Linked DNA regions of Rattus norvegicus. Each later gene encodes a partner of the first gene's protein in a complex. Links are inferred from orthologs where the notes say so. Each region holds a gene or a part of one and is shown in the gene's direction. Other genes may lie near its edges.

The links.
Region 2: Prpf8 (region 1) and Lsm8 share a complex: the UniProt entries of both Homo sapiens proteins name them as parts of the U4/U6-U5 tri-snRNP complex. The link is inferred for Rattus norvegicus from reciprocal best matches to the Homo sapiens genes PRPF8 and LSM8.
Region 3: Prpf8 (region 1) and Prpf6 share a complex: the UniProt entries of both Homo sapiens proteins name them as parts of the U4/U6-U5 tri-snRNP complex. The link is inferred for Rattus norvegicus from reciprocal best matches to the Homo sapiens genes PRPF8 and PRPF6.
Region 4: Prpf8 (region 1) and Lsm3 share a complex: the UniProt entries of both Homo sapiens proteins name them as parts of the U4/U6-U5 tri-snRNP complex. The link is inferred for Rattus norvegicus from reciprocal best matches to the Homo sapiens genes PRPF8 and LSM3.
Region 5: Prpf8 (region 1) and Lsm2 share a complex: the UniProt entries of both Homo sapiens proteins name them as parts of the U4/U6-U5 tri-snRNP complex. The link is inferred for Rattus norvegicus from reciprocal best matches to the Homo sapiens genes PRPF8 and LSM2.
Region 6: Prpf8 (region 1) and Lsm4 share a complex: the UniProt entries of both Homo sapiens proteins name them as parts of the U4/U6-U5 tri-snRNP complex. The link is inferred for Rattus norvegicus from reciprocal best matches to the Homo sapiens genes PRPF8 and LSM4.
Region 7: Prpf8 (region 1) and Prpf3 share a complex: the UniProt entries of both Homo sapiens proteins name them as parts of the U4/U6-U5 tri-snRNP complex. The link is inferred for Rattus norvegicus from reciprocal best matches to the Homo sapiens genes PRPF8 and PRPF3.

What each region holds. Positions count from the first base shown.
Region 1 is NC_086028.1:60,839,778-60,843,277, forward strand, and holds part of Prpf8 (pre-mRNA-processing-splicing factor 8), read left to right. Parts: intron 1-54; coding exon 55-171; intron 172-3,500. UniProt on the Homo sapiens protein: Plays a role in pre-mRNA splicing as core component of precatalytic, catalytic and postcatalytic spliceosomal complexes, both of the predominant U2-type spliceosome and the minor U12-type spliceosome.
Region 2 is NC_086022.1:48,270,952-48,274,927, forward strand, and holds the start of Lsm8 (LSM8 homolog, U6 small nuclear RNA associated), read left to right. Parts: upstream 1-1,176; 5' UTR 1,177-1,319; coding exon 1,320-1,350; intron 1,351-2,266; coding exon 2,267-2,307; intron 2,308-3,976. UniProt on the Homo sapiens protein: Plays a role in pre-mRNA splicing as component of the U4/U6-U5 tri-snRNP complex that is involved in spliceosome assembly, and as component of the precatalytic spliceosome (spliceosome B complex).
Region 3 is NC_086021.1:189,118,965-189,122,464, forward strand, and holds part of Prpf6 (pre-mRNA-processing factor 6), read left to right. Parts: intron 1-350; coding exon 351-513; intron 514-3,500. UniProt on the Homo sapiens protein: Involved in pre-mRNA splicing as component of the U4/U6-U5 tri-snRNP complex, one of the building blocks of the spliceosome.
Region 4 is NC_086022.1:125,576,950-125,580,984, forward strand, and holds the start of Lsm3 (U6 snRNA-associated Sm-like protein LSm3), read left to right. Parts: upstream 1-1,235; 5' UTR 1,236-1,335; coding exon 1,336-1,356; intron 1,357-2,037; coding exon 2,038-2,148; intron 2,149-4,035. Other genes in the region: Xpc (DNA repair protein complementing XP-C cells), read right to left, coding at 983-1,076. UniProt on the Homo sapiens protein: Plays a role in pre-mRNA splicing as component of the U4/U6-U5 tri-snRNP complex that is involved in spliceosome assembly, and as component of the precatalytic spliceosome (spliceosome B complex).
Region 5 is NC_086038.1:3,848,866-3,853,165, reverse strand, and holds the start of Lsm2 (U6 snRNA-associated Sm-like protein LSm2), read left to right. Parts: upstream 1-1,500; coding exon 1,501-1,503; intron 1,504-1,672; coding exon of another isoform or gene 1,673-1,783; intron 1,784-2,033; coding exon 2,034-2,101; intron 2,102-4,300. UniProt on the Homo sapiens protein: Plays a role in pre-mRNA splicing as component of the U4/U6-U5 tri-snRNP complex that is involved in spliceosome assembly, and as component of the precatalytic spliceosome (spliceosome B complex).
Region 6 is NC_086034.1:18,792,057-18,796,231, reverse strand, and holds the start of Lsm4 (U6 snRNA-associated Sm-like protein LSm4), read left to right. Parts: upstream 1-1,375; 5' UTR 1,376-1,450; coding exon of another isoform or gene 1,451-1,534; coding exon 1,535-1,537; intron 1,538-4,175. UniProt on the Homo sapiens protein: Plays a role in pre-mRNA splicing as component of the U4/U6-U5 tri-snRNP complex that is involved in spliceosome assembly, and as component of the precatalytic spliceosome (spliceosome B complex).
Region 7 is NC_086020.1:186,089,628-186,093,616, reverse strand, and holds the start of Prpf3 (U4/U6 small nuclear ribonucleoprotein Prp3), read left to right. Parts: upstream 1-1,189; 5' UTR 1,190-1,299; intron 1,300-3,476; 5' UTR 3,477-3,524; coding exon 3,525-3,669; intron 3,670-3,989. UniProt on the Homo sapiens protein: Plays a role in pre-mRNA splicing as component of the U4/U6-U5 tri-snRNP complex that is involved in spliceosome assembly, and as component of the precatalytic spliceosome (spliceosome B complex).

The sequences.
Region 1 (3,500 bases):
CACCAGCCCCTCTGGAAGTCTCTGGGACAAGTTAAAACTGGCTTTGCGGTTTAGGTTACTAAGGAGCGGACGGCTCAGTGTTTCCTGCGTGTGGACGATGAGTCAATGCAGCGCTTCCATAACCGCGTGCGGCAGATTCTGATGGCCTCTGGCTCTACCACTTTCACCAAGGTATGTGGGCATAAACCTTCGTTTCCCTGCCAGCCCCTGTGTCTTGGCATCCCTTCAGCTCCTTCCTGGTTTGGATTCCCACTTTCCCAATTTTGCCTAATATTCTAATCTCCATGTATTATTTTGGGATGGCAACTTAGAATGTTAGATCTATTGGGGTTTATTTCTGAGGATTCCCTGCAAGAATTTAATAGGCTGTATCTGTGGGGTTTTGATGATTTTTTAAATCAGAGCAAAAGTGGAGTCTATAATTTGAACAAAAGTATCTATTTTGCATTTTCCCTTGGCTTGTTAGCTAAGTCAAACAGCCTATATTTTAGGGAGTAGCATAAAATGCAGGGTCTTTTGTTTGCATTTATTTTTCCTTAGGTTGTTCCTGGGGCCCACTTAAGACAGCTGGAGATTTGTATGTTTAGGGTCTTGCAAGGCCAGATCTCCCATGATGAAAACTTTTTAAATGTGGCTCTTAGGAATTCACTTCTCCTAAGATAACTTCTGTGCTGTAGGTATTTTGCACATACTAGATACCAGTTGCAAAGTAGAGCCCTTTCCCTTTGAGAGAGAGGTACATGATATAAGAACCACTAATATGTGATGTTTATGGAGTCATTGCATTATCCGAGAATACTAGAGTTCATGAGTTCAGATCCTGTCTGAGTGGAAGTAGAAAGACTTCTACAAGAAACAAGGTGAAGGCGTTCAGCTTTAGCAGAGGTGTGGAAAGGTACTTAATTAGTACGGTACTTGCATAGCTATAAGAAGTTTAAGGTTGATGGCTCAGCGGTTAAGAGCACTGACTGCTCTTCCAGAGGTCTTGAGTTCAAGTCCCAGCAACCACATGGTGGCTCACAACCATCTGTAATGGGATCTGATGCCCTCTTCTGGTGTATCTGAAGATAGCAACAGTGTACTCGTGTAAATCTTTAAAAAAAAAAGTTTAAGGTTTATTGTAGTAAATTGTGGAGTTGGAATTTTTCTAGATCCCTGGAAAAAAGAATTTTAGCAAATATAAAAGTATAAGGCATTCTCTTCTTTTTCTTTTTTTTCTTTTTTTTTTTTTTTTTCCAGAGCTCGGGACAGAACCCAGGGCCTTGCGCTCGATAGGCAAGCGCTCTACCGCTGAGCTAAATCCCCAACCCCGGCATTCTCTTCTTTAATTTTATAATTTTTTTCCAAGGCATAGTTTCTCTTCATGCAGCCTTGGCTGTCCAGGAACTTGCTCTGTAGAACAGGCTGCCCTCAGACTCACAGAGATCCACCTGCCTCTGCCAGCCAAGTGCTAGGATTACAAGCGTGCATCTCCACCACCAGGCAGTTTTCTGATTCTGGGGTGAAGGTTGAAAGCTTAAGGATGAGTGAGACTGTCTGGAAGAGTGGAGAGAGGAGAAAAGACAGATAAGATAAGGGTGATGGGAAGGAAGCTCTGAGGTGCACTGACCAGAACCGAGCAGGTATTTAACAGCCTCAGTTGCCTGAACAGTTTAGTAGATAAGACTGAATGGGAGCCAGTGACATTGGCAGTTAGGACGTCATTGGTGACCTTAGAGCTATTTCAGTGCTGGGATGCAGGCCAGATGGTTTGCCAGAACTGGAGTAGGTGCGTTAGAATCTCCCTTTTTCAGAGGGAGCTGCACATCAGGACAGGGCTTTTTGTTCTATTTTGGGAGTTTTTACTTTTATTCACTTTTTTTTTTTTTTTTTTTTTTTTTTTTTGAGCTGAGGACCGAACCCAGGGCCTTACGCTTGTTAGGCAAGCGCTCTACCACTGAGCTAAATCCCCAACCCCTTTTATTCACTTTCTTTTCTTTCTTTGGTTTTTTTGTATAATTTACTTGTATACAATGCATTATAATCATATTAACCTCTTTCATGCCCCCTTCCTGCTGTCCCTTCATTTAACAAGGTGTGTGTATGTGTGTGTGAAGAGACAGAGAGACAGGGTGGGGGTGGAGTGTTGTGCAGTTCCATAGCCCTCTTCCGATTCTTTGAGGCATGGTCTCTTCTGGAGCCTGCAGCTCTAAAAGCCTGTGAGCTCAAGCAATCCTCCTGTCTCAGCCTTGCTCAGAGCCTTATGGAGGAGTGATGAGAGCTGAGGGGGGAACTTCACAATTATGGTTAGATGTGCATGATCTTAGGACTTTGGGCGGTCCTCCACCCTCAACTTGATTATCTATAAAGTGAGGATAACCATAGTTCTTAGCTCAGAGAACTTTTATGAAAATTAAATAATATGTACAGTAGTCCAGTAAGCCATATTATTTTATAAAGAGCTTTTATTAATTAGATCAGAGATTACGATAAGAGCATAATGTTGGATTTGAACTTGTTTACTTTTTCTCCTTTGCTTTTTGTTCATTTGTTTGCTTGCTTAAGATAAGCCTTATGTATAATCGAGGCTGACACTGAACTCTTGATCCTTCTGACTTAGCCTCCAAAGTACTGGGATTACAGGCATAAGCCATCTGACACTGATAACAGGCCTTAACAAGTACACATTCCCACACATATGTATATATGTGCACTGATACTAACAGGTGTACACATCATATATAGCTACACTAGAAGACCCCAAAAACCACCTCCACCTCCACCCCGTTAATAGAAAATCTCGAGGAGGCTGGAGGTGATTAACCCTAAGGTCAATTAAGCTCCTTTTCTACCTCTTTTTTATTTATATTTGTCTTGTGTACTCACAAGTATACACGTCACGACCTATGTGTGGACGTCAAAGGACAGCTTTCAGGAGTCAATTTTCTCCTACCATGCAGGTTTCCAGGGTTAAAGCAAGGTAGGTCCTTCTGATTTGGCAGGAAGAACCCTCGACTCCACTGACCTGATTTGTCTTTTCAGCTGTTTATTTTTGCTATACTGGGGATTGAACTCGGCCAGGCAGCTGTTTTACCACTGACCTATATTTTGAGATTAAAGTTTCCCTGTGTTGCCCAGACTGGTTTTGAGCTCCTGGGCTCAAGTGATCCATTGACCTCAGCCTCCCAAATAGCTGAGACTATAGGTGTCCGTCACTGCTGTGGCCTTTAGTGTCCTCAGTTTCCCTTTCCTCCAGTTTTGTTAGAATCATGCTGTCACTCCCACCTGGGTTACCACTTCTGCTTTAGGTGTGTGTGGCACATTTAGCTCAAGAGTACATATGACCCTTCTGTTTAGTCGTGGTCCTAACTGGCACACACAGACCTCGATGAGGTCCAGGAAAACAGCTATGTACCCCTTAGGTAGTCTGACTGACAGCTCTGTTTGCTTTGTAAGGTCAAAGGCTGCCTTCCTGATTAGTTCTTTGTCTTCCTGCAGTCAGCAGTGCTGTTTCCTTCTTT
Region 2 (3,976 bases), on another chromosome or scaffold:
TGTATGGCAAGCTTTAAAGGAATTCTTTTAGCTCCCCAACAGTTTGATGATGTAATTACTGTCACTGTCTCTAACTAAAAGCAAAGCACAGCTAGTTCAATCACTCCAAAGCCATAATTCTTCAGCTAAGAAAGATTTTAAAACCCACAACAAAAAGAAATATTGCTTTTTTCCATAATTAGTTGTGCAGATTCCTAACAACCAGTTTTGAAGTGAAAGCACCATTAAATAAATAAATAAAACATTATTGGAGCAGACAGGGTAGGGGGAGGTTGGAGGTATAACTTATTGGTACAGGACTTTGGAAGACTTGCATAGTGTGAGTTGCACACACACACACACACACACACACACACACACACACACACACACACACACGAGGCATGAGGGAGAATGTCAGTCCTATTTTTACCAAGACATGTGAAAAATAATAGTTCTGTAGTAGGAACTAAGTAAACTCAAGTCCAGAGTTGAAGTGACATAAAATAGTGACAGCAATGAGGGACAGAATCAGAATCAAACCCGGTGCTTAGTTTACACTTTTCTCCAATTAGTCCCTTCACAGTGGGGCTGTAGCCTTTATTTATTGAACTTCACCCTGAGGAAAGCTAAGTCCCGAGACTTCGATGAAATCCATTTCTTAAGGCAGGCTCCTGCACCTTCAGCTATTTGGCTTTCGTTTTTTAAAAAAGCTCGTTTAAGGACACGAAGAGCCAAATTCAGAATACACAAATATTTTCATACAGTTGTTTTCTCCGAAAATGTACATCGTGGAGCTACAAAATGCTCCCTTTGTACTGGGCTATTTGGCTTTTTAAACTTTTTTGGCTCATGCTGGAGAAATCTAGAGCTCCTTGCACCCTGCATCTACATTGCCTATGAGAACAAAGAATCTCTCTCCTACTCTAGCCAATGGAAACATCTTCATCTCGTGTGTCTTCCGGCAGAAAGAGTCTTTCCGCACTACCTTTAGTAACTACCACAGTGCCTTCCCGTCCGGTAGAACCCTCCAGTGTCTCCTTCCAGTCCGCCTTCGGTGACAACTCTACACTTCCGCCTGTCCCCGCCTTTGTCTCCCCTTCCGATCGCCACCCGGAAGCCCAGCGGAAACACGCTGCGCATGCCCACTAGTCAGCACCGCCCCGTTTCCTGTTTGTCCGACTCCTTTCTCTTACTGATTCGTCACCGCTGAGGCCTCAGAGTCTCGCGATATTTGCGTTCGCCAGCGGGCGCGAATCTGTACGTGTTTCTAGCGGGCGGTGTTTTGTCTCCTTGTTGCTGATTCCTCTCAGATTCCCGGAACCTCCGGGCCCAGCAGCATGACGTCTGCCTTGGAGAACTACATCAACCGTATCCTCGGGCGGGCCGCTGCGACGGCTCAGGCCGCGGCGGGGGCGGGAGGGAACACGGGGGCCCGGAGTGGTGGGCAGTGAGCAGTGGGTGGAGGACCGGGGGTCGGGATTCGTGGAGGGAGCTCCCGGATGGACCCGTGGCTTTTTCCACCCACAGCACAGATCTCGGTGTAGTTAGAGTTTTCCTGCACGTAGCCTGTTGATTGTATATGTTCCAACATTGGGACTAAGGTGAACTGTTGTCCTAAGGACTCCCAGTTCGTAGATCCTAACAGTCTTGTTTGTTCGGGGATAGCATGAACAGGAAGATGCTCCTCAGATGTGCATTTCGGGTCCCATGCCTCCGCTTGAAATGTCTATGCGGTAGAATAAAAATAAATCGTATTGTGATGGTGTTTGGAGAGTGACGAATGGCTTTTAAAAAGCCCAGAGATTTTAAGATAGAATTGCTGTTCTGAAGTCAGGGCAAAAACATTGCACCTAGCATATGCTCAAAGAGGAAACCCTAGTTAAATACAGAGAGGTTTTAATGATGCAAGGATTATTGGTACTTGATGGCATTAATTGGATGAGAAGGGCCTTACCATGCATAAAGAGATCCAACATTGATTAGCTCCCATCTAAATTTTATTCTAAAGGTTAAGAAGTGAGTCTAACCTGCTCAGTGTCATAGGTTGGAAACATTGCTGTTTAAACCAGAGGCAAACAGTCACATTCTATACCCTCTATCGTTTAATTAACTGTTTTCAAGGTACAGTTGAAACAAGTTTAAAAACTTACGTTTTATTCCTCCGAGCAGTGACTCTGTTGAATCTTAATTCTTTCTCTTTTTTAAGTAGTTGGAACCATTCCCTTTCTAGGCTAAAAGTTTTCAGTTTGTATTTAGGAAATACTTTCCTTGACTCAGTTCTCAGGAACTGTTGCAGTAATAACTTCTGATGGCAGAATGATCGTGGTGAGTGACATTTTCGTTTTCCTCTTTCCTGAGGCTTATTGCTTGTACATTTGAGGTAACATTTCTGGCCCAATGTTCAGACACCACAGCGTACCAATATTCCGGTGTTCTTATGATTCAGCTATTTAACTTCATCTCTTGGCTGCCTGTCCAACTTCTCTGGCCAACCCTGAAGACCTGAGCTGAAAGGTAGAGCTGTGTGATAAACTGATTTGTTTTCTTCTTGCATCCTTCTATTCCGTTTCGTTTGTTTTAACTTAGAGACCTTAAACAGTTTACATGTGTGTGCCCTAATTGGTTCTTTATCGATGAGGAAATGTGCTTTCAGTGATTTCATCATTTTTCCGAATATAGTAAGTGGTTTTGGAAACTTAAATTTATGACTTCACTGGTGGCACAATCTTCGGTACCATTGGCCGACCTACCATTTCTGATTGAAATATTTCTTGCATGACTGTAAATTAATCCCATGTTATTCCATTCTGGTTTTTTTTTCTTAAAGATTTAATTTTGTTTTTGCTCATGTGTGTGTGTGTGTTTATGAGCGTCTGCCATATGTGTGAGGATACACTACACAAGGAGACCACAAGACCTAGAGTGAGCCACAGTGTGTGGGTGCTAGGAAGAACTTGGACTTTTAACCACCGAGCCATCTCTCCAGCTCCTTAATTTTCTTCTTCATCCTTTTGACTCTTCTCTTCCATGAGCAATACCAGTCAAAATGACATAGACTAAATGCATATCATGTGTTAAGGATTTTGTATATCAATTAGTTTGCATTACAGCCTTGTGAAGAATTGCCACTTTTGTTATTAGGAATCTAGCTTAGACAAAATAAGTCACTTTCCCAGAGAGTCAGTATGACAAGTGACAGAACTGTATAGTGTCATAAATTGTGTTTAATTCCAAAACCAAGGTTACTTCCTTTGCTTGTTCTTAATAAAGGAAACAAATATGTAGGATTTTTTGTTTGTAGTTTGTTATGAGGGGGTGGTGGTGGTCAGATCATAGTCTATATATTTGTAAACTATGGGCACTTAGGAAGTCTATTAATGTTAAAAGCTAATTTGAAAATAGTTGATTTTTAAAGCCTTTAGTTTTAATTTCTTGTTTCTGTTACAAAATGTTTATAGAAGAAAAGCTGAACAAAAGCATTGACATTGATTAGTTCCTATCTTTATCACAAAGTTGTCTGATAAAATAGTTTTGTGTAAAATGAAGGTGAGAGGATTTGGGGGGGGGTTTATGATAACCACCATTTACTAACTGCTATAGTAAATAGTCTAACGTGTTTTTCTTTCCAGTTTCTAGACTCCAGGTTTCTATTTATTTTATTCTGATTCTATATAATTATAGCTTTTGTAACATGAGAATTTAATGGTAGACCCAAGAGATTAACCAGCTAAATTGAAAATAAGCTATTTCTTCAGAAACTTGAAGAGCATCTATGATACTTTCTTTTTCTAAATCCATACAGTTTTTCCTGCTTGTTTTCTTCAACTTAAGTTTCTGATTATTTCAGTTCTAATATATCTACTATAGTATTGATAGAATTCAGTTAGACATATACACAGGACACAGTGTTGGCAGTAAGGAGATGAAATATTAACTATAAGTGTTAACTAGTTTGTCATAACATTGTTTACAACAAAGTAGAGGACTTACTTTG
Region 3 (3,500 bases), on another chromosome or scaffold:
AGGGGATCTGATGCCCTCTTCTGGATATGCATCCAAGCAAAACACCTGTATGCATCAAATAAGAATAAGTAAATCGGAAAAAAAAACAAAAAACAAAACAACAACAAAACACAGATTAGTGCTGTCTCTCAGAATATTCTAGCACTTGTGTTTTGGAAGGTGGGATGATTAGGACGAATTTAGAAAGTGTTAATAAAACCAACAATGTCATGTACTCTTCTGTGTAAACTAGGTATATCTGATAATGAAAGAAAACCTCTGTGAAATTCTTTGAATTTTAGGTAAAAATTAGAGCTTCCCAGGCAGTCATACCTGCCCATGTTCTTATTGTTCTTTGTTTTTTCCCCTAGAGTGAAGATGTCTGGCTAGAAGCAGCTAGGTTACAGCCTGGGGACACAGCCAAGGCTGTGGTGGCACAAGCTGTCCGTCATCTCCCACAGTCTGTTAGGATTTACATTAGAGCAGCAGAACTAGAAACAGACATTCGAGCAAAGAAGCGTGTTCTTCGGAAAGGTAAGCCTCTCTGGGAGGTACCCCTTAAACTGTGCCTTGAAGGTGTTCTTGCTTTATGATGTTTTGTTCTCTTGGAGAGCAGTTCACTCTTCCTTTGCTCAGACGTTTTGCGAGGGTAGTTAAGAAGCTGGTAAAGTTGCCAGTCCTTTTTTCTGGGCTAGTTGCTTTTGCCCTTGGAGTTCTATAGAGAATGGACTCCAGTAGAAATGTTCCCACACTGACTGAAGGGCACCGTTTTTACCTTTCTATAGTGTGTGAGCTCAACAATCACTGTCATCCAATTTTTCCTTATTCATAATACAGGAACAGGTTTGTGACTCTCTAAGTATATAGTCCCTCCAGGATAGCTTGTGTTCTGGAAATGGAATTTTGAAGTGCACAAAGGTAGAGAAAGAAGTAGTACAGAAACACCACTATTACCATGTGCACACACCAAGCAAATGCTAAGTATGTGCCATACCGGAGTTAGGATTTTCTTTTCCCTCTTGTGTGGGTATCAAGGGTTAGCTCTCTACGTGCATTAGTGACCAAGTGACCTAGACCCTGTTGAGGTCTGGATCATCAGTTGGTGCTTTTGCTTCTTTTTATTATAGGCGCTCTCTCTCTCTCTCTCTCTCTCTCTCTCTCTCTCCATCTCTCTCCCTCCCTCCCTCCTTCCCTCCCTCTCTCTCCCTCTGTGTGTGTGTGTGTGTGTGTGTGTGTGTGTGTGTGTATGTGTGTGTGTCTATCTCTATTTCTATCTATCTCTCAGATAGAATCTTACATGTAGCCCAGGCTAGCCTCAAATGCATAATCTTTTTGGTTTTGCTGTGTGGGTTTTGCGTACAGGTACTCAGTATCGTGCCATATTCTTCTCCTAACTTTATACTTGCAAATAGAAACACTAAATAAGACTGAAGACCCTCTGACCTGTAAAATGATCTCCTCAGAGAATGGAGGCAACTTGATTACCCCCTGGGAGTCAGTGCTGGTCTCACAGCTTGACTGAATTGTTCTAGGCCTCTTGGTGGCGAGGTTTGGAGAAGTAAAAGTAGGGCATGAAGCCTATGGGAGCTTCTCCAACAGCATTGCACATTCAGAGACCTATGTGCTCTGTTGTATAGGTTAACGGATGCACGTGGTGTATGTGGTATTACTTCATGTTAGGTTGAGGCCTTGACTTACAAGGCATTTTTGTCTTCTGGTGCTCTTAGGAGCTTTGGGAAACATCCAGCTAGTCTTCCAGGCACCATGCTGACTAAAGTGAGGAACAGATAGAAGGCCCATCCTGCCGAATCTGTGTCTTAGTTAGGGTTCTATTGCTGGAAAGAGACATCATGTCCATGGGAACTCCCCCTGCTTCCTGCCTCCTGAAACAGGGTTTCTCTGTGTAACAGAGCCCCGACTGTCTTAGACTCACTTTTTGTAGACCAGGCGTTTGCCTCTGCCTTCTGAGTGCTGGGATTGAAGGGATGGCCCTGCCTCACCATAGCAACTCTTATAAAGGAAAACATCTGATTGAGGCTGGCTTACAGTTCAGAGGTTTAGTCCATTATCCTCCTGGACAGAAGCATGATGGCACGCAGGCAGACATGGCGTTGGAGAAGCAGCTGAGAGCTCTATATCTGGATCCACAGTCAGTGGGAAGAGACTGTGACTTGAGCTTCTGAAACCTCAAAACCCACCCTCAATGAAACCCTAACTCCGAAAGGCCGCACAGGCTACACTCCAATAATGCTACTCCCTATGAGTCTGTGGGGGTGGGGAGGGCATTTTCATTCAGACCATCTCTCAGTCGCCTCAGTGACTTTAACCCTAGGTCGGGGCTTTTTCCTTCTTAGTCCTGCGGTCCTAAGGCTTTTCTAGAGCCATGAATCTGCTCGTAGGGTAGCAGACAAGTTAGCTTCTAGTTGTGGGAAGTGTCTGCCTGTGACTCAGTCATCCTACTGGAATCCACGCTGTACTTGCTTTTGCTCCACCCATCTTTTCTGCTCTATTTCCAACCTGACAAAGCTGCACGTCTGCCTTGCTCATGGTCAGGTGTGTTCGAGGTTTTTAGCCATTCCTAGTTCCCTGCTGGGATCATCTTCCTCATAGGTGAACAGATGTGCAGGAGAATTCAGCTCTCTTCTTTGTCGAGGATCAGCACAGTTGGTGCTGGTGGTGTTGGATCTGTGGAGTGAGAAGAACCCAGACTCACTGTTGTTGTCTGTCCCTTTAGGACTCACCACATGGCAAAACCCAGAGTACTTGGCAGTAGGCAGGAGGGTGCCCCTGTAGAGTTCAGGCTCTGAGATTAGGTGTCATTGCAGTAGGAGTACTGGGTTTCATCATAGAAGGGAAGTCCCAATGTGCCTCAGACCTTGGGACCCTGCAAAATTCCCGCAAGGGTAGGTAGGCCCTTTGGCTTTGTATAGAATGTCTCCCATTTTTCTGGCATGCACATCTCAAGTCAGCATAGTGATGTACACCTAAGGCTTAGTCTGTGTGCAGTGGCGCAGCCGGTCTGCTCTGGCTCTATGAGAAGGAAAGGAACATTGCAGAGACTGCCTGCCCTGCTAGATGGCACAGAGGCCTAGAGGAACGAAGCCCTCACACATAGCAGGAGAGTTCTGCCACTGTTGAGTAGGCTAAACTACTCAGCAGGCCACACTGTGTTTATGTGGTTCCCTCAGAAACCGGCTTTATGGTTGGTTACAGATCGCCTTCAAACCCAGCAATGACAATGACATCACCCAGAGGTGACAGGGACCACGCGTGGCAATTGCCAGACATTCATTCATAGCGTCCATTTGGTTTACCTCTCACCTTTACCTGTGATCGGTTACATCACAGCTTAAATAAAAGGCAGATCCTCTTGACCTTTGCACTCTCTCTTTTCTCTCTTTAACCCCCTTCGTCTTCGTTGCCCCCTTTTGTCCCCTTCCTCCACAATAAACCTCTCTCATGTGGAACTACACTGGCCTGGTGTGGTCTGCCATGATTCTATCACAACATTGGTGCCGAAC
Region 4 (4,035 bases), on another chromosome or scaffold:
GAAAAAAATCAAAATAAGAGTATCTGGAGAGGAGACAGAGTAGAATTGTGACAACCTCCAAATCTTGTGGGAAACAAGCTAAGAGAGGTAGATGCTATACTTGGAGAGCATAAACCTAAGGAGGTTTTAAGTAAGAAGACAGAGGCATAAGGTTTTGTTGTGGTTCTACATCCATTTGGCTGCTAGATGATGGGGCAGACAGATGAGAGGAAGCCAGAAAAGAAGCAACCTGAAGTTCATTTCCTTAACGATATGGACAAGATCTCTAGCTATAAAATTAAGAGAATTAAGTACAGATTTCGGTGGTTCCAAAGCTGAACTGGACTTGATGCCGAACTGGCAGTTAAGAAGAGATGTGTTCTAACGTGTGTTTTAAAAGGGATGATTTATTGAAATAGAACAACTGGGGGGATGGATATGTTTAAGGGGAAAGATGGATCTTGTTCAAGATCTAGATTAAAAACTCATTCCAGCCAGGGCGTAATGGTGCATGCCGGTTAATCCCAGCACTAGGGAGGCAGAGACAGGCGGATCTCTGAGTTTGAGGCCAACCTGGTCTACAAAGCAAGTTCCAGGACAGCTAGGTCTACACAGAGAAACCCTGTCTGGAAAAACAAAGCAAAAAACAAGAGTAACAGAAAGCGCATCCTAAAAACCCGGAGCTGGAGTTACACTGGATGGCAGTCAGGAACTTGATGAGAGAGATCTCTCACTACAGGTCTCCCTCGGTCCTGGTTTTTGGCATCTCCTGAGATACCAGGCAATTGCGAAGCTTTCTCCAGCTCGGCCTTCAACACTTGCTATGGGGCTGAACTTGGTACTAAAGGTTAACCGAGGGGTTAAGACAGATAGCAGAGGCCCTCGGGGGCTGGAGGGGGGACGCATCGGGCCGTAAAGACCTTGCGGTAGACACAGATCCGCTCCGCCGCCCGCCCCAGCCTCCGCCACCATCGCCTGACATGCTGCAGACTTGGCCTCTCACCCGCATCGCTCTCCTCAGGCCGGGTTGCTTTGTTGTCCTCGGCTTCCTGGCCGCGCTTCCTCCGCTTTCCGCCTGCGGTACGCTTTCGGGCCATGCTAGCCAGAGGCGTTCCTCCGGACAACCACGCAGGACTGCCGAAAGTCTCCGCGTGCCGGCTCCGCCCCGAGGCGTGCCATGCCTGGCCGCACCCCCAGCTCCGGATAGGACCACGCCCTCCAAAAAATCCCGCCCCCATGCAAACTACAAGGGCGCGAAGGGACAAAAATAGTGTAGTTCGCCTTCCAGTGCGTGGCGGCCCAACGTTTCCTAGTGTCTGCTCTCGCGAGAGGTGGAAAGGGCGCAGCGTTTGAAACATGGCGGACGACGTAGATCAGGTAAGTTTGTCCTGGGGCGTCCGAAGAGGAAGTGCTTTCGTTTCTTAGCCGGGCTTGCTTTTTCCACGCTTCCCGTGGAATGGCCCTTTTCTTTTTCCCGAGTTCCCACGGCCTTCCGCAGCCAGGCCTGCTCCTAAAACTTCCGTAGGCCCAGAGTTTCTCAACCCGCCCATCTGCCCATCTCGCTCGTCGTCGCCCTTTCTCTGTAGAATGCAGACGGCTGTGGATATCCCATCTATGGGAGATACGGTCGGGATTCCGACAGAAAGAGTACTGTAGCGGTAGGACACCAGCATAGTAATACGTGTAAGCACCTGGCACGCAGGCAGTGGCTCACTTGGAGTGTGTTACGAGGGGAGGTCAGATAAAAGGTGCAGTTATGTGAGATAGAGAAACTGCTAGAGATGTAGTATATAGAAAACAAGCAAAGACCTGGCACACAGTGTTTCTCTTCAGAGCATGTTGTTTTAAATGTGTTCTTTATTTAAAATGTTCGTTCCACAACTAGAATATAAGTTCCTTAATAGGGATTTATTGGGGCTTAGTGGTTAAGAGCACTTTTGGCTCTTGTAGACAACCCTGGCTGTGTACCAACACCCACATGTTGCTTTCACTGCTTAACAGTGATTGAAACACCACACTACCTCAGTGTTCCATTACTAAGCCTTCTTCTCTCATCAGCAACAGACCACCAATACCGTAGAGGAGCCCCTGGATCTTATAAGACTCAGCTTGGATGAGCGAATTTATGTGAAAATGAGAAATGACCGAGAGCTTCGAGGCAGATTACATGTAAGTCTGTTAAGTTATCTCAAAACCAGATGCTCCCCTGTCATCCCTTCCTACCTCCTTACAGATAAGAACTGCAACATAAACTTATTTTTTTTAATTATACAATGACTTTTGGGAGTTGGAAATTCCTTTATTGGCTTTTAAAATATTTTTTCCTTAACCAGAATGTTTTTTAGAGAGGGATGGGACTCCTGTGAGACCAGAACAAGGCATCTGATTGCCCAGAGCTGGAGTTACAGACAGTTGTGAGCTGCCTGGTGTGGTTGCTAGGAGCCAAACTCAGGTCCTCTGCAGGGATAACCAGTGCTCTTAATTTGAGCATCTCTACAACCCTGTAGAACACTTTTGTTTTCTTCAGCTTTGTCCTCTGTTTATTTAAAATGAATAAACTTCTTTTTGTTTTAGACAAGGTCATACTATGTAACCCAGCTAGCTTCAAACTCAAGATCCTCCTGCCTCTCTCTCCTTAGAACTGGGATTTTAGACATGCACTACCACTCTTGCCATTGTCCTATGTTTTTAAAAGTTATTGGACAGGGTGTTTTGGTTTTCGACATATAAAACTCTCCTTTGACATGAAAAAAACTAAATAGCAGGCCAGAGATCGTTCACCTAGTATGTGGCAAAGCCCCTAGCACTACCAAAAAAAAATTAAACACCATAGAAATCTAAAGGTGAAATTCCATTTTCTCTGCACTATTCAAAGTTGGCTACATAGTCGTCCACATCTTTTCTGCATGTGTATATGCTGTCTGTGTTTGAAGGAGGATCCTAGTGAGGTACGGTGGCATGTGCCCATAATTCCAGTACTTAGATGACTGAGGTAGGAAGGTCATATATTTGAGGCCAGTCTGGACTACATAGTGAAACCTTGTCTGGTATGTACACACCTTTTCCACACGGTTTCTGTGTGGAATGATTATGCAGCTGACACAGTTGCCCAGGATTCTCTATAAGGCTTCGGTCACTTTTTTGTTTTTCCAGCCTTAAAACTGCATTGTGCACTTTTACATATATTGCTTGTGCACATTTATGATGCCTGTGGAATTGGTCCCTTGAAGTAGCATTATTGTGCACTTAGGGTTTTGTCTCTTCTTGTTACTTTCCTCAGAGCTGTTGGTTTACAACGGGAATTGGAATTAAGTCTTTTTAGTTCAGGCTTAGAAATAGCCCCATACTGGCACCCACAGAGCCAGTGTGGGGGACAGTCTCAGTCTTTCTTCTATGAAGAAATTTTTAGTTCTTTCATGAAACCTGAGGATAAAGAACCTCTGTGACTTGGAAGGAAATTGGACTGTTGATCTACAAGCCAGCATTAGGGAAACAGCGGTGCCAGTTTGGTGAGAAACATGGGATGGAGCTAAATTGAAAGGCTCTTCGGCACATGGAATGACCCCAGGCTAGACCATCGCCTTTAGTTTGGAGGTGTCTGAAGCTCTTACCTCTGTAGTAAGTGGCCCAGGTTTCTGTTTCCTCCCTGCTCTCCAGCTGAACATTTTGCTCATTTGTGTAGCTGCCAAGCAGTTCCTTCTCAATGTGGCGCCTGGCTATTTTTAATCTTGATATGAGCAGGCAAAAGCACTTAGCACTTTGTTAGAAGAACATATAAGTGGGTTCTGAACAAGCCCCAGGAGGTTTGCTGTTAGTAAAAGGGATGAACTTTGGAGGTTGCACTAAACACTGTGGTTGCAATCCTTCCTGCCTGAGCCCACAGATGCCAAAGCATGTTAAGCTCTGGACAAGTTATAAATGGGCAAAGTAAAGGTGGGACAGATGATTGGTGGGTAAAGTTTGAGTGCTGAAGTTTAGATCCCTAACACCTGTGGAGACCCCAGAACAAGCTCTTGCGTTCAACTTAAAGACACTACCTTAATACATACGGTGGGG
Region 5 (4,300 bases), on another chromosome or scaffold:
ATAAGGGCAAAGTACTTGAATTTGTGTAAGTTGAGCATATCCAACAATTTTTTTTTTGGTTTTGAGGCAGGTCTGCCTCAAATGTCTTTCGTTCATGCTGCCTACATGACTGGAATTACAGAACGTTACACCTGCCAGGAAAAATATTTTCTAATTCTCAGGCACCCTGAGCCCATAGGAAGCAGCTGCTAAATGTACTGACTGCTTCTAACCAGTGACAGCCTCTTTTAGATTCAGGTGTTAAAGTTTCTGTTGAAACTCGGTAACATCTTGCTTGGTAATCATGATGGATCCAGCTCTGAACACAGTGATGTGCACAGGTGGAGTGGGGTAGGTAGGACAGAGAGGGAAGACACATCTTAGGGTCTTGCTGGCAAGTCAGTCTAGCTGAATGAACCTGTCCATTCCAGGATCAGTGGCAGATCCTGTCTCAGAAAATGAGATGGCTAAGTCGTTAAGGACATATGTTGCTCTTCGGCAGGACCAGGGTTTGATTCCCAGCACCCGTATGGTGGCTAACAACTATAACTCCAGAGGATCCAACACACTCTTTTAGTGTCTGGGAACACTGCACATGTGGTACACAGATATACGTGCAAGGAAAAACTCACACATATAAAATTTTAAAATATTAAGTAAGTGGAAAGAACAGCCAGCATTCATCTCTGGCCTACACAGGCAGGCATGCTCCAAGCTTCACCCAGACCCCCAGGAAACCGACTTTTTTGGTATCATGCAATCAGCAGGCCTAGTCTCTCAGAATTCTCACCTGTGTACCATGACTGCCTTGCACCAACAGCCAGCCTCGAGAAGACAAAATAGCAAGTGTTTTCCTATTTATCCAGACATGATATCTACAGAAGCTATAACCTAGCAACTTCCCATTTAATTACTAGTAAAAATAATACGGCTGGAGAGATGGCTCAGCGGTTAAGAGCACTGACTGCTCTTCCAGAGGTCCTGTGTTCAAATCCCAGAAACCACACGGTGGCTCACAACCATCTGTAATGGGATCTGATGCCCTCTCCTGGTGTGTCAGAAGACAGCTACAATGTACTTATATATAATAACTCAATCTTTTTTAAAAGAATATGCAAGTCATAATTTTCTCAATCTTCCCAATAATTCTCAGTAGAAAGCGTAGAGTATGAGCAAGTCACCCGGCACAGAGAAGAATCTAAAAAATTATCAGGGAGGCGAACTACATCCAACGCGCAGCTGCTATGGCCCACGCACGCGCTCGGGAGGGAGGAGTTCCTTGGGAGGAAGTGGGAGACAGGAAGTCCCGCCCTCCTCCCGGTTTGGCGGTCCTCTCTGCTCTGCCCTACTCCGCTCCCTTTGAGCCCAGATTCAGCCGCGGTTTTCGCGGTTCCCCTTGCGCCTGCGTGATCCTGTCCTGCCTCACGCGCGGGCTCGTGCTCCGGCTCCCGCCCTGCCTCCGGCCCGCAGTCCCCGGCGCCTTCCTTCGCGGTCCAGGCCGCCCCTCGTGGCGCCAGCACCATGGTGGGTACCGTGACGTCAAAAGGGAGCGCCGCCGCCCGCGGCGGGCGGTTCGAACTGTTCGGGTCTTGGTTGCGCTCTAGTGTTTGTTGCCTTGGGCTGTAGCTAAGCCCTAGGGTTTTCCTTACAACCTCAGGGCCCACACCCTGTGTGAGGAGACTGCTTGGAACCAATGGTTTTTTTGGGGAAACTTCCAGCAAGTCCAAGAGAAAGCCCACGGGCGCCGGGGGAGAACGGAAAGCTAGTCTTGCATTTCCGTGCTGGAGATCAGGATTTTGTGAGGGTGCGGTTGGGAAGCGGTCTCGAGCAGGGAGGTGGTCGATTCGGAGAGTGGGTTCTGGCATCGAGGGGTGCAGCGCAGTTATTGTCTCTCTGTGGCCCCAGGAATTGCAGTCTCTGTTAACGGATTGTTGATGGTGGTGAAATTTTGAGAACTACTAGGTGGGGCCAAAAGGACTGGTATTTCAAATGCCGTCACGGGTTCCTCCTCCCTGTCCCTTTTCATGTGATAGTTCCTCCCTCTTTTCCAATAGCTCTTCTACTCCTTTTTCAAGTCCCTTGTGGGCAAGGATGTAGTCGTGGAACTCAAGAATGATCTGAGGTAGGTCTTTATTTCAGCGAGTTGGTGGAAGGTGGGAGGTGCCTGGTGTCCTGATCGTTTTCGTGGTTGTTGTTCACAAAGCTATTTTAGAGCAGAGGGGCAAAACACAGAAGAAATATCTTGTGTCTTGAGTGTAAAGATTAGTTTAAGAGTGAGCCTGGTGCTGTGGCACATGCGTGTAATCCCAACGCTGATGCAGAATTGTGAATTCAAGGACAGTTTGGTCTACATATGTCCAGGGCCAGCCAGAGTTACACAGTGAGATACAGTTAAGTAACATGTATGTGCAGTCCTGGATGTCCCGGAACACACAGATCCGCCTGCCTCTGTCTCCTGAGTGCTAGGATTTGCCCTGCTGTATCATTTGCTCTTAACCATTCAGGAGTGGATTAAATGCTGTATCACTGGAAAGATGTTTATGGCTTCTTGTCACATCATCCATTAGAGTCTACTTTCTTTTTTTGTTTGTTTGTTTGTTTATTATACATAAGTACATTGTAGCTGACTTCAGAAACACCAAAAGAGGGCATCAGATCTCATTATAGTTGGTTGTGAGCCACCATGTGGTTGCTGGGATTGAACTCTGGACCTCTGGAAGAGCAGTCAGTGCTCTTAACCATTGAGCCATCTCTCCAGCCCCTAGAGTCTACTTACTTTCTTTCTTTCTTTCTTTCTTTCTTTCTTTCTTTCTTTCTTTCTTTTTTCTTTTCTTTTGTTCGGGGCTGGGTACTGAACCCAGGGCCTTGCGCTTGCTAGGCAAGCGCTCTACCACTGAGCTAAATCCCTAATTCTAGAGTCTACTTTCTTAATAGTGCTTAGAAAATTATAGGTGTCACTGATGTCTATTTTTTTTTTCATGTACTGGATGGGCATGCTCAACAGGTGAACTTCATTTCCAGCCCTCGTGTTTCTTTTTAAAATCCTTTTATTTGTAGACTCTTGAAACCTTTGAGCACAGGTCAGTGCTTGAGAGCCTTGATTCTAAGACAGAACGTGGTGTTGACAAGCAGGATGGTTATGGCCAGTGTGGGCAAGTGAGAGGCTGGCCCAGGCCGGGGTGGAGAGTAGCTAAGACTTTTTCTAGTCTAAAAGTCAGACCACACAAGTGTTCTTCCACAGAGCAGTGGGGGTTCGTAGAATGTAGAGAGTGAAGAAGTAAAATGCAGGATCTGGGGTTGTTAATTAAAATTTTAATTCCTCTGCACCTCCGTGCAGTGGGTAAATATAAGATGGGTAACATGGTGTGGGAGCAGTGGCTTTGATAACTGTACTCAGGACTAGAGGGTGGGGGAGTGTAGCATTAATAATAGTTAATTTCAGCTGCCATGTATATGTAGGTCTCTGGCTCCAAAGCATAAATGTTTACAAGTAACAGCTATTGGAGCTGCAGAGATGGCTTGGTGCTTTAAAAAGAGCTTGCTGCTCTTCCAGAGAAATAGAGTTCAGTTCCCGGCAGCTACATTAGGTGATTGACAACAGTTTGTTGGGCTGAATACAACTCCTTAGAACTCTGGCTTCAATGGATCTGATGCCCTCTTCTGGTCTCTGTGGGTAACTACATGCACATACACACAAATAGTAAAAATCAGTATTTAAAAATAATGGATGTTTCTGGGAGTCGTGCAGATCAGGGCTGACATTCCAGTTCATTTGTGTAAGTTTTGGTACCTTACATGACCTCTCATAAGTCCTGGATGATACTACTTTGAAAGGTGATTAGCTGAGTGGTTGATGGCTGTTCATCCCTTAAACCTTTAAACCTAGCCCTCAGGAGGCAGGGGCAAGGGCAGGGGCAGGGGGGAGTTTGAAGCCTGCCTTATCTACAGAGCTAGTTCTAGAACCCCACAGGGAAACCCAGTGGGCAATGGCCATGAGTAGTGCTCCTAGCTGTAGTTCTAGAACTTCAGAAGTGGAGGTAGGAATGCCAGAAGTTGGAGGCCAGCCTGGGCCAAGTGAGAACCTGTCTTAAAGTGGAAATACTAATATTAAATGGAGCATAGGCCCGGCCTGACTACGAGCTTCTGATGTGTTGGTGTGAGGACAGACTGAGTCTGAGGTGCTTTATCATTTCCACCTCAGAACTTACAGGGGCTGCCTGCTGGCTTCAGGGCCTAGAGTTCCTCCCCCCTTGTCACTGTAGTTCTGATTTTCCCTCTGCTGATTCCAGCATAAATGAATGCTTCTCTCCTCTTTGCTCCC
Region 6 (4,175 bases), on another chromosome or scaffold:
AAAAAAAAAAAAGAAGAAGAGCCCTGGGTAGTGGCGCCCAGGGAGTCTCCTGGGGCAGAGGAACCGTACAAGTGAGCTCATCACTGACATTCTGCACCAGGCCTTCCAGAAGCTTGGTAAAACAGCTGTCCTGCTCGGGACAGCTCAGGGCAGAGCTCCGATTCCATCGCCAGTAGCCAAAGGAAATAAAAATAAATAGAAGGGCAGGGGAGTTGGATCCATGGGTAAAAAAGGCTGACTGGTGAAAAGGCTAGACTGATTCCATGACAGACTTCAAACTGGCAGTTAAGGAGAGTAGGCCTAAATCAGTTTCCAAGAACTGGGCAATTCCAGGCAAGTCCAGGCCTCAGAAGCTGCCCTGCCACCTGGCCTGAGGCAAGGACAATGGCTGGGTCAACAGCAGTTTCCAGACTTCCTCAGCAGCAGTTTCCAGCCCTCCCCAGTAAGTTTCCAGCCCCCACACCCCAGTAATGGAATGTCTGTAGAGATGGACCCAACAGATTAACATAGAGGTCACCTACCCCAGAATTCCCTAATGTGCTTTAAATCAGACTTCCAAGTTCACTTGGGTGTCTATTCTGGTAATGGGAGACCACAGCATGCTGGACTTCTGCAGAATAAAACATTCATTGCCTTTACATACTATTTGAATCCACGGTATCATTCTTCGGTGGCGAATCATGGACCCTAACACTGGGCAAGCATGAGAACCTAACTTTGTATCTCAAGACGACAGATTAAAACACACCTGCAATCCCAGCACCAAGATCTCAGGAAGTTTGAGACCAGCCTGGTCAACACTGAGTGTTCCAGGCCGGTTAGGGCTGCACAGAGAAACCCTAACCTCTTCCCAAAATGATAACGATTAAAAAAAAACAAAAACAAAAACAAAAAAACAAGGTGCTGGCTTGGTAGCCTACAGCGGCCATGCCAGCACTGAAGAAGTTGCGTACCAGGCTATTGCGAGTTCATGATCAGCTTCAGCTGCCACAAGAACCCATCTCAAAACACGAAAATTCCAGCGATTTGTTTCCTGTCGCCGGGGAACGCTGGCCCTGACGTTCGCGTTCAAGGATTATATTTGGATTGATAAAGAGAAAGAGCTCCATAAGGGCGAGGACGGAAAGATAGGAGCGCGAAGAGGGTATGAAGCGGGTTTCCCCAGCCCAGCGCGATTCACATGCATTAGCCAGTTTCGCCCACAGTGTGGCGCCGAACCAGTCAGGAGTGCACATCTGCGCAGGCGCCATTTCCCAACATACACCATGAGTGGGCATGAAGAGCACCGCGGCCTTTTGCGTCACTCCGGTGTCACGCTTTACGGCCGCTCCTCAATCCCACGGTGGGAATACGACGCGATACGCCGCCGCGTTATGTAGGCACCGCCTTATCCCGTTCCGATTGGATCGGTCCATTTAGTCACTCGCTGATTGGTTATAGTTTCTGCCAGTCTTTTTCAGGCTGGAGCGCGCGGTAGACTGCCGGTGGGAGTGCGAGTGGCTGTGCAGCGGCGGAAGTTATCTCTGCAGGGAAGATGGTGAGGGCCGCGAGGCGGCGGGGCGCGCGCTCAGGGTCTTCGGGCTGCTGAGAGATGGGGAAACCTGAGGCCGGAGGTGACCAGTGTCTCTCTAGGGTCCCAGTCCGCCACCGTTGCGGATTTATCTCTTGAATGGACAAGGTTTTTTGCGGCCGGAAGGACTATGATCGCTTCCGGAGCTTGTCACCGTTTTTGATAGGATTGCTGCGTTTCCGGGAAGTGGGCGGACCTAAGGGCTCACGTGGGTTCCATTGCCCACTTGATGCTTATCAAGTGTCTGACCTCAGCTGCCTACGCCTTTGGCCGAAAGTCCAACCCAGATTGAGGGATGTTTCTCTCCCTTGGACACATAGCAGGTCCTGCTCGGGAGGAAGGAAATTTTTTCTCCTAGTTCAGGCTCAGGCCTTCCCAGTTGTGGGACCTGACATGATGGAATAGAGGAGGCCAGGTTTCCCTGCTGCTCTATCGAGGGGCGCGTTGGCCCAAGTTGGGAGAGCTGGACATGCCCATCTCAGTTCTTGATGGTAGAATATTTGGTTTTGTTTTTTGGTTAGGCTTTCTGATCTGAACTTAACGTAATCCAGGCTAGCCTCAAACTCATCCTCTTGCTTCAATCAGTGGAGTATGGAAAGGACACGTGTATACCTCCATGTTTGGGTTAGGACGGGAGGCAGATCTCATATAGCCCAGGCTGCTTTTGAACTTCCTTTGTAATCACGTATGACTGAACTCCTGATCCTGCCTTTACTCCAGAGCGACCCTGGGTTTTGTGGTGCAGGACCTCAGGGCCTAACACATGCTGTGTAAGCACTCCCCACTAGGTGTACCCTGAGCCCCTGAGACTCCTTCAGTCTATTCCCACCATAAAGCACCCGCCCAGCCTCTGAGCCTCCCTGAAGGGATGGCCAGGTGTGTCCAGGACTGGACACCCTCTCCACGCAGGTACGCACAGACACTCCCATATCTCTGCGGCCCAGCTGGTACAGGAGTGTCCCAGCCGAAAGTTTCTGAATTCGGAGCCCAAGGCTTGATCCTCCAGCCGTCTCATCTACACGCTGGATCCCAGAGAGGCTGGAGGGTGGCTGAGAAGGAATTTCCTTTCCTGAAACTGCTCCTCTGATGGGAGGTGCTGGGACTGGAGCCCAGAGCCAGTGGCCATAACACCTGCAGGTGCAGGTGCTCAGTGTAAAGCTGTATCTCCCCACTCAAAAGCCTGTGACTATCCCAGCTCCACCCTCCCTGTCCACCCTGGCCCGTTTCACTCTGAGCTTTTTTTCCTTCGTTTTGGGAGGCCTGCCCAGCTGGAGCACGGACTAATTACTTCTCTATGAACCCCATTCCTTCCATTCCTCTGTATCCCACTGCATGCGCAGATCTGGGGGTGGCGGCCTGTCCCTACACCACACTTACCTGTGGCTCTGGACAGGATGCACCTGTGCTGGGTATCTCCACCCTGCCTGTTCAGCAAGTGTTTACTGCCCCTCCCTGCTGCAGGAGAGCCCGCGCCCACACTGACCTTCTGTCTAGCCAGGGAGACTGGTGCTGATCACCCTGTAATTAGAGAGCGGCCCCTGCTGTGGTGGGTGGAAACAGGCTGGCAGCCCAGGGTGGCCATTAGGGGCCTAGTCACAGGAGGGGACATGCTCAGCAGGATTGGGCAAAGAAAGTCTGGGGAAGGGCACCCTGGGAGGTGGCTGGGGCCCGGGCAGGAGGGACAAAAGCTCAGTAGTAGGCTGGACCTTACCATGGCTGCCTCACAGCCAGACTAGCCTGTGCTGGCCATAACAGCTCCAGAAGAGCTGTGTATGTGCGCCTGTTCTTGTTTAGTGATGTTTGCCCCTGAGCCTTTGCTGTGCCTTGTCTTCAGGAGTTTGACTGTTCTATTTGTTCCTTTATTGAAACAGGGTCTCATGTAGCCCAGGCTGACCTCACATTGTAGCCAAGGATGACCATGGCTCCAACTCCCTGGAGCTTAGCCACAGGCTGCCAGACTGTGCCTCTTTTTCACTGTTTATTTGAGGGTCAGACTGGACACCATTGTCACTGATCACCAAGGCCACCCTCCCACCACCCATTTTCACAGAAGCCATCCTCTGCCTCCTACCCTTTCAGGAAGTCTCTGCAGGAAATGGGCTCCAGCCTCACTTCCTGCCACTGAACCCCCACCCCCACCCCTAGCTCTTCTCAGGAAGGGCCCTGTGCTGCAGGCTCCCCCAGCCCTCTCGTGACCCAGAGTCACCAGGCTGGGCACGATGGCCCCGAGGATCTGAGTCCTTGATGTTTGTTTCTTCTGTTTTAAATGATTTATTTTTATTTCATGTGCATTGGTGTTTTGCCTGCGTGCATGTCTCTGTGAGTGTGTTGGTTCCCCTGGAACTGGAGTTATAGGCATTTGTGAGCTACCATGTGGGTGCTGGGAATTGAACCCAGGTCATCCAGAAGAGCAGCTGTGCTCTCAACCACTGAGCCCTGTCTCCAGCCCCTTGTGATATTGTTGTTGTTGTTGTTTGTTTGTTTGTTTTGCTGTGTGACCCAGTTACCCTGGAACTTAGATCCTCCTGCCTCTGCCCCTCAGTGCAAAAATTAAGTGCCTGGCTGTATTTTGATTTTTGGGTGAATTTTGGAGACATGTCTAATG
Region 7 (3,989 bases), on another chromosome or scaffold:
CACTCTGTAGACCAGGCTGGCCCCAGATTCAGAGATCTGCCTGCCTTTCTCTAAATGCTGGAATTAAGGACTATACACCACCACTATGCCAAAAACTGACTTTTACAGATTACATGTATTTATGTACCTTGTGTGTGTGCGCACACACCACAGTCACCTGAGGGAGTCAGAGGACATCTTTCAGGAATCGGTTCTCTCCTTCTACCTTGTGGGTCCTGAGCATTGAACTCAGGCTGCAAGAATTGGTGGCAAGCACCTTTACCCACTGAGCCATCTTACCAACCCCAACAGAAACTAGAACTAGAAGAAATATGCGGTAGACTCATTAGAAAGTGAAGTTGTTTCCTAGTAAGATGGAAATTAGAATTTTCCAATAGCATGAAGGTTTTTAAAAAAAAGATTTATATATATATATGTATATATATATATATATATATATATACATATATATATATAGTCGCTATCTTCAGACATACCAGAAGAAGGCATCAAATCCCATTACAGATGGTTGTGAGCCACCATGTGGTTGCTGGGAATTGAACTCAGGACCTCTGGAAGAATAGTCAGTGCTCTTAACCACTGAGCCATCTCTCCAGCTCTATCATGAAGGTTTTACTTTTTTTTTTTTAATTTTATGTGAATACACTCTCGCTGTCTTCAGACACACGAGAAGAGGGCATTGGATCCCATTACAGATGGTTGTGAGCCACCATGTGGTTGCTGGGAATTGAACTCAGGACCTCTGGAAGAGCAGTCAATGCTCTTAACCGCTGAGCCATCTCTCCAGCTCAATTTTTTTTTTTTTTCTTTTTTTCCGGGGCTGGGGACCGAACCCAGGACCTTGCGCTTCCTAGGCAAGCGCTCTACCACTGAGCCAAATCCCCAACCCCTAATATTTTTTTTGTTTGTTTTTACTATAAAGGACACTTTGAGTACGAATGTGGATGTCCTTGCTTTTAGTTCTAGCAATAAGGTTAGCGCACTAACTCTTGACCCAAGGGAATGTGCTGCCAAACGACTTCTGCTCCCGGCAATCAGGACTGGACTAACGTTGGCTTTGCTCCGCGGCAAGTCAGCGAGCGGACTTAAGCTTTAGGATCCCGCCGCGCGTGCGCCCGGCCGCCGGCACCTTGATACCGCGGCTGCGCGGCTCAGGTCCCGCCTTCTCAAGTCACGTGTTATAGGGACCGCAGCGTGGCGGTGGCTCTGGCGGTAGCGACGGCGGGCCATAGGGCAACCGGAAGGTTTCCGGTTCCGGTGTAACGTTCGGGCTCCGTCTCAGGGGCTGAAGTTTGTGAGGTGAGTAGTGGCCCTGCGCCCGAGAGGATAGCCTTCGGTCCGAGCGGCTGGACAGGGCGGGAGTGTTCGGCGGGAAGCAGGCTGAGAGGAACCCCGGGTTCTGTTGGGGGACGGAATCAGAATGGGCTTGCTGAAGGAAAAGGGCGGGGGCGGGAAGGAGCAGGGTGGGCAGACCTGCTCTGAGGTGAGGAGTTAGGTCGGACTCGGTTGAAGCGGGGGCCAGTTGGAAAGATAGTAAAGAGGGAGCATGGGGGACTCAGGGGCTTGTAGCTTAGAAAAGTAAGGAATTCCTTCAGAAGATGAGAGTCTGCTTTCTGCTCATTCAGAAGACAGCCTTCTGCCTTCCTCCCGTTCCCCTCTACCCCCCAGGCCCACACCGACACTGACGCCTCCTCGCTATTATAGTTATTTGGTTGGTGACAACTGTAGTGATTGGAACTTTCTTATCCATTGACTGCTTCGTTTGCACATTCGGGTCGAATTTGAAGACATCTATTTGTCAGTATATTGCCTGGGCTCACATCCAGTCTTCTAGTGTTTCACCTATTACTTTGGATTTTGAAAATTGCTTAAACTTTCCAGTCTATTACTCAATTGTAGTGGGTCGTAAGTTTCATTAACACGAGGATTCTTGGCTGTTTTGTTCACTGCTGTATGTGTCTTTACATGCAGTAAGTATTCTGCTTAACAAGTAATAGGAACTTAAGTATTTACTGAATGGAGTGTTATGTCAGATGTTCCCACTTTCTAAGATGAGTATCCTGAGGCTCTGGTGATTAACTTGCTTACCTAAGGGCTTATAAATGGTAGTGCTTACTATATCCTCTCTTCAGTGGGCTTTCTTCTCCACCTTTAGTGCCTGTGTTTGCTTTCTTTTTGATAGGCAGTATACTGCTATCTCATGATGGCCCAAAAAGCAATCCCAGGATTATTCATAAGACTTGTCACTGAGGAACAGCCTTTCAGCTTCATTCAGGTGTATTAAATACTGTGCATTGATAGATCTTCTGAGAGATAAGTCTGTCAATTGTAGGAGCTAATTAGACTGCATCTTTTTGTTTTATGACAAGGTCTCATATAGCCAAGAGTTGACATTGAACTCCGTAGACAAGGCTGGACTTGAACTCCTGATTCCCCTTGTGCTGGGATCACAGACTTGTATGGTCATTTGAGGTGGCATCTTTTAGATGTCTTTAAACACCTTGAAAGAGTCATTTCCCAGATCGCACTACGATACAGGGCAGTGCTAAGAGGAGGTCAGCTGGGAAGTTAAGGTCAATTGACTGACATACAGCCATTGGGAAGAAAATCAGAAATTAAGTTAACTTTATGCTGGTGAAGATGTTTGAGATTTAAGAGTACCCAAATGTAAGCATGAATAGTGTTGAAATTTTACACCAATTTGCATTAAGTAATAAAGAATCATTTTGGCATATAGAATGCTTACAACCATGAATAAATCTACAGAGAAATGACAGCATTCTTAAAGATTATGAGATTTAACAGGAGGACTGACTTGAATAAAACCTCTTATTTGTATCCATTAAAGATGTTTTAGGTCAAAGCCGGGTTAGAGAATGCCTTCCAGAGTAGACGTAATAGTAAGGTTGACTTCTAGATTGACTCTTCAGATGTTCTGTTTGCCTATCCTTTATATGACAGAGTCAGAAGTTAGAACCCATTCCTCAGATTAGGTTATTCCTAGTTTGTTTATTCTTCAGATAGTGTTGATGACTGATGCTGAGTTAGAATCAAAATATCAAATGAGTGGGGCATGGTGGTATGCTCCCGGAATTCCTCACTAGGTAAGTGGAGGAGAATTGCCAAGTGTTGAGTTCTGCATGAGCTACATTGTAAGACCCTATCTCAAAACTCAGAAAAGCTGGGGCTGGGGATTTAGCTCAGTGGTAGAGCGCTTACCTAGGAAGCGCAAGGCCCTGGGTTCGGTCCCCAGCTCTGAAAAAAAAAGAACCAAAAAAAAAAAAAAAAAAACTCAGAAAAGCTAATGGAACCCTTTCCTCCTGTTTTGAAGCTTGGTTTTAGGGAAAGTATTCTCCATATCAAATGGAGAGACATGCCTAGGGGTTGAAAATAGGAGTGGGGAAAGCACCCTTATTATACTGTTATCTTGATTGCTTTGTTTTCCTTTTCTCTGACTCTTGCTTGGTTTCTTTTAGGTGTAGTACTTTGTCCGATTTGAGCTCTTAGTCTCTGTTTCCTCCAAAATGGCACTGTCTAAGCGGGAACTGGATGAGCTGAAACCATGGATAGAGAAGACAGTGAAGAGAGTGCTGGGTTTCTCAGAGCCCACGGTGGTCACAGCGGCATTGAACTGTGTGGGGAAGGGCATGGACAAAAAGAAGGCGGCTGGTGTGTACCTCTCTGACTCTTCTGACTTAACAAGTATATTGATTCCAAACACTAATTTGAAACTGCCCCAGGTTGTTCCTATTGGAGCATCAAAGGAAAGGTGGGGCTAGCCCCTTCTCCTTTTGTTGTTGTTTTCTTGTTTTGTTTTTTTGAGACAAGGTTTCCTCTGTAGCGATGTCTGGCCTGAAACTCAGATATCCACCTGCCTCTGCTTCCTGAGTGCTGGGATTAAAAGCACACACCACTCCCTCCTCCCCCTTTTTTATTAAAAGACAGGGTCTCATGGATCCCGGCCTGGCTTCCAGCTCACTAGCCGAGGA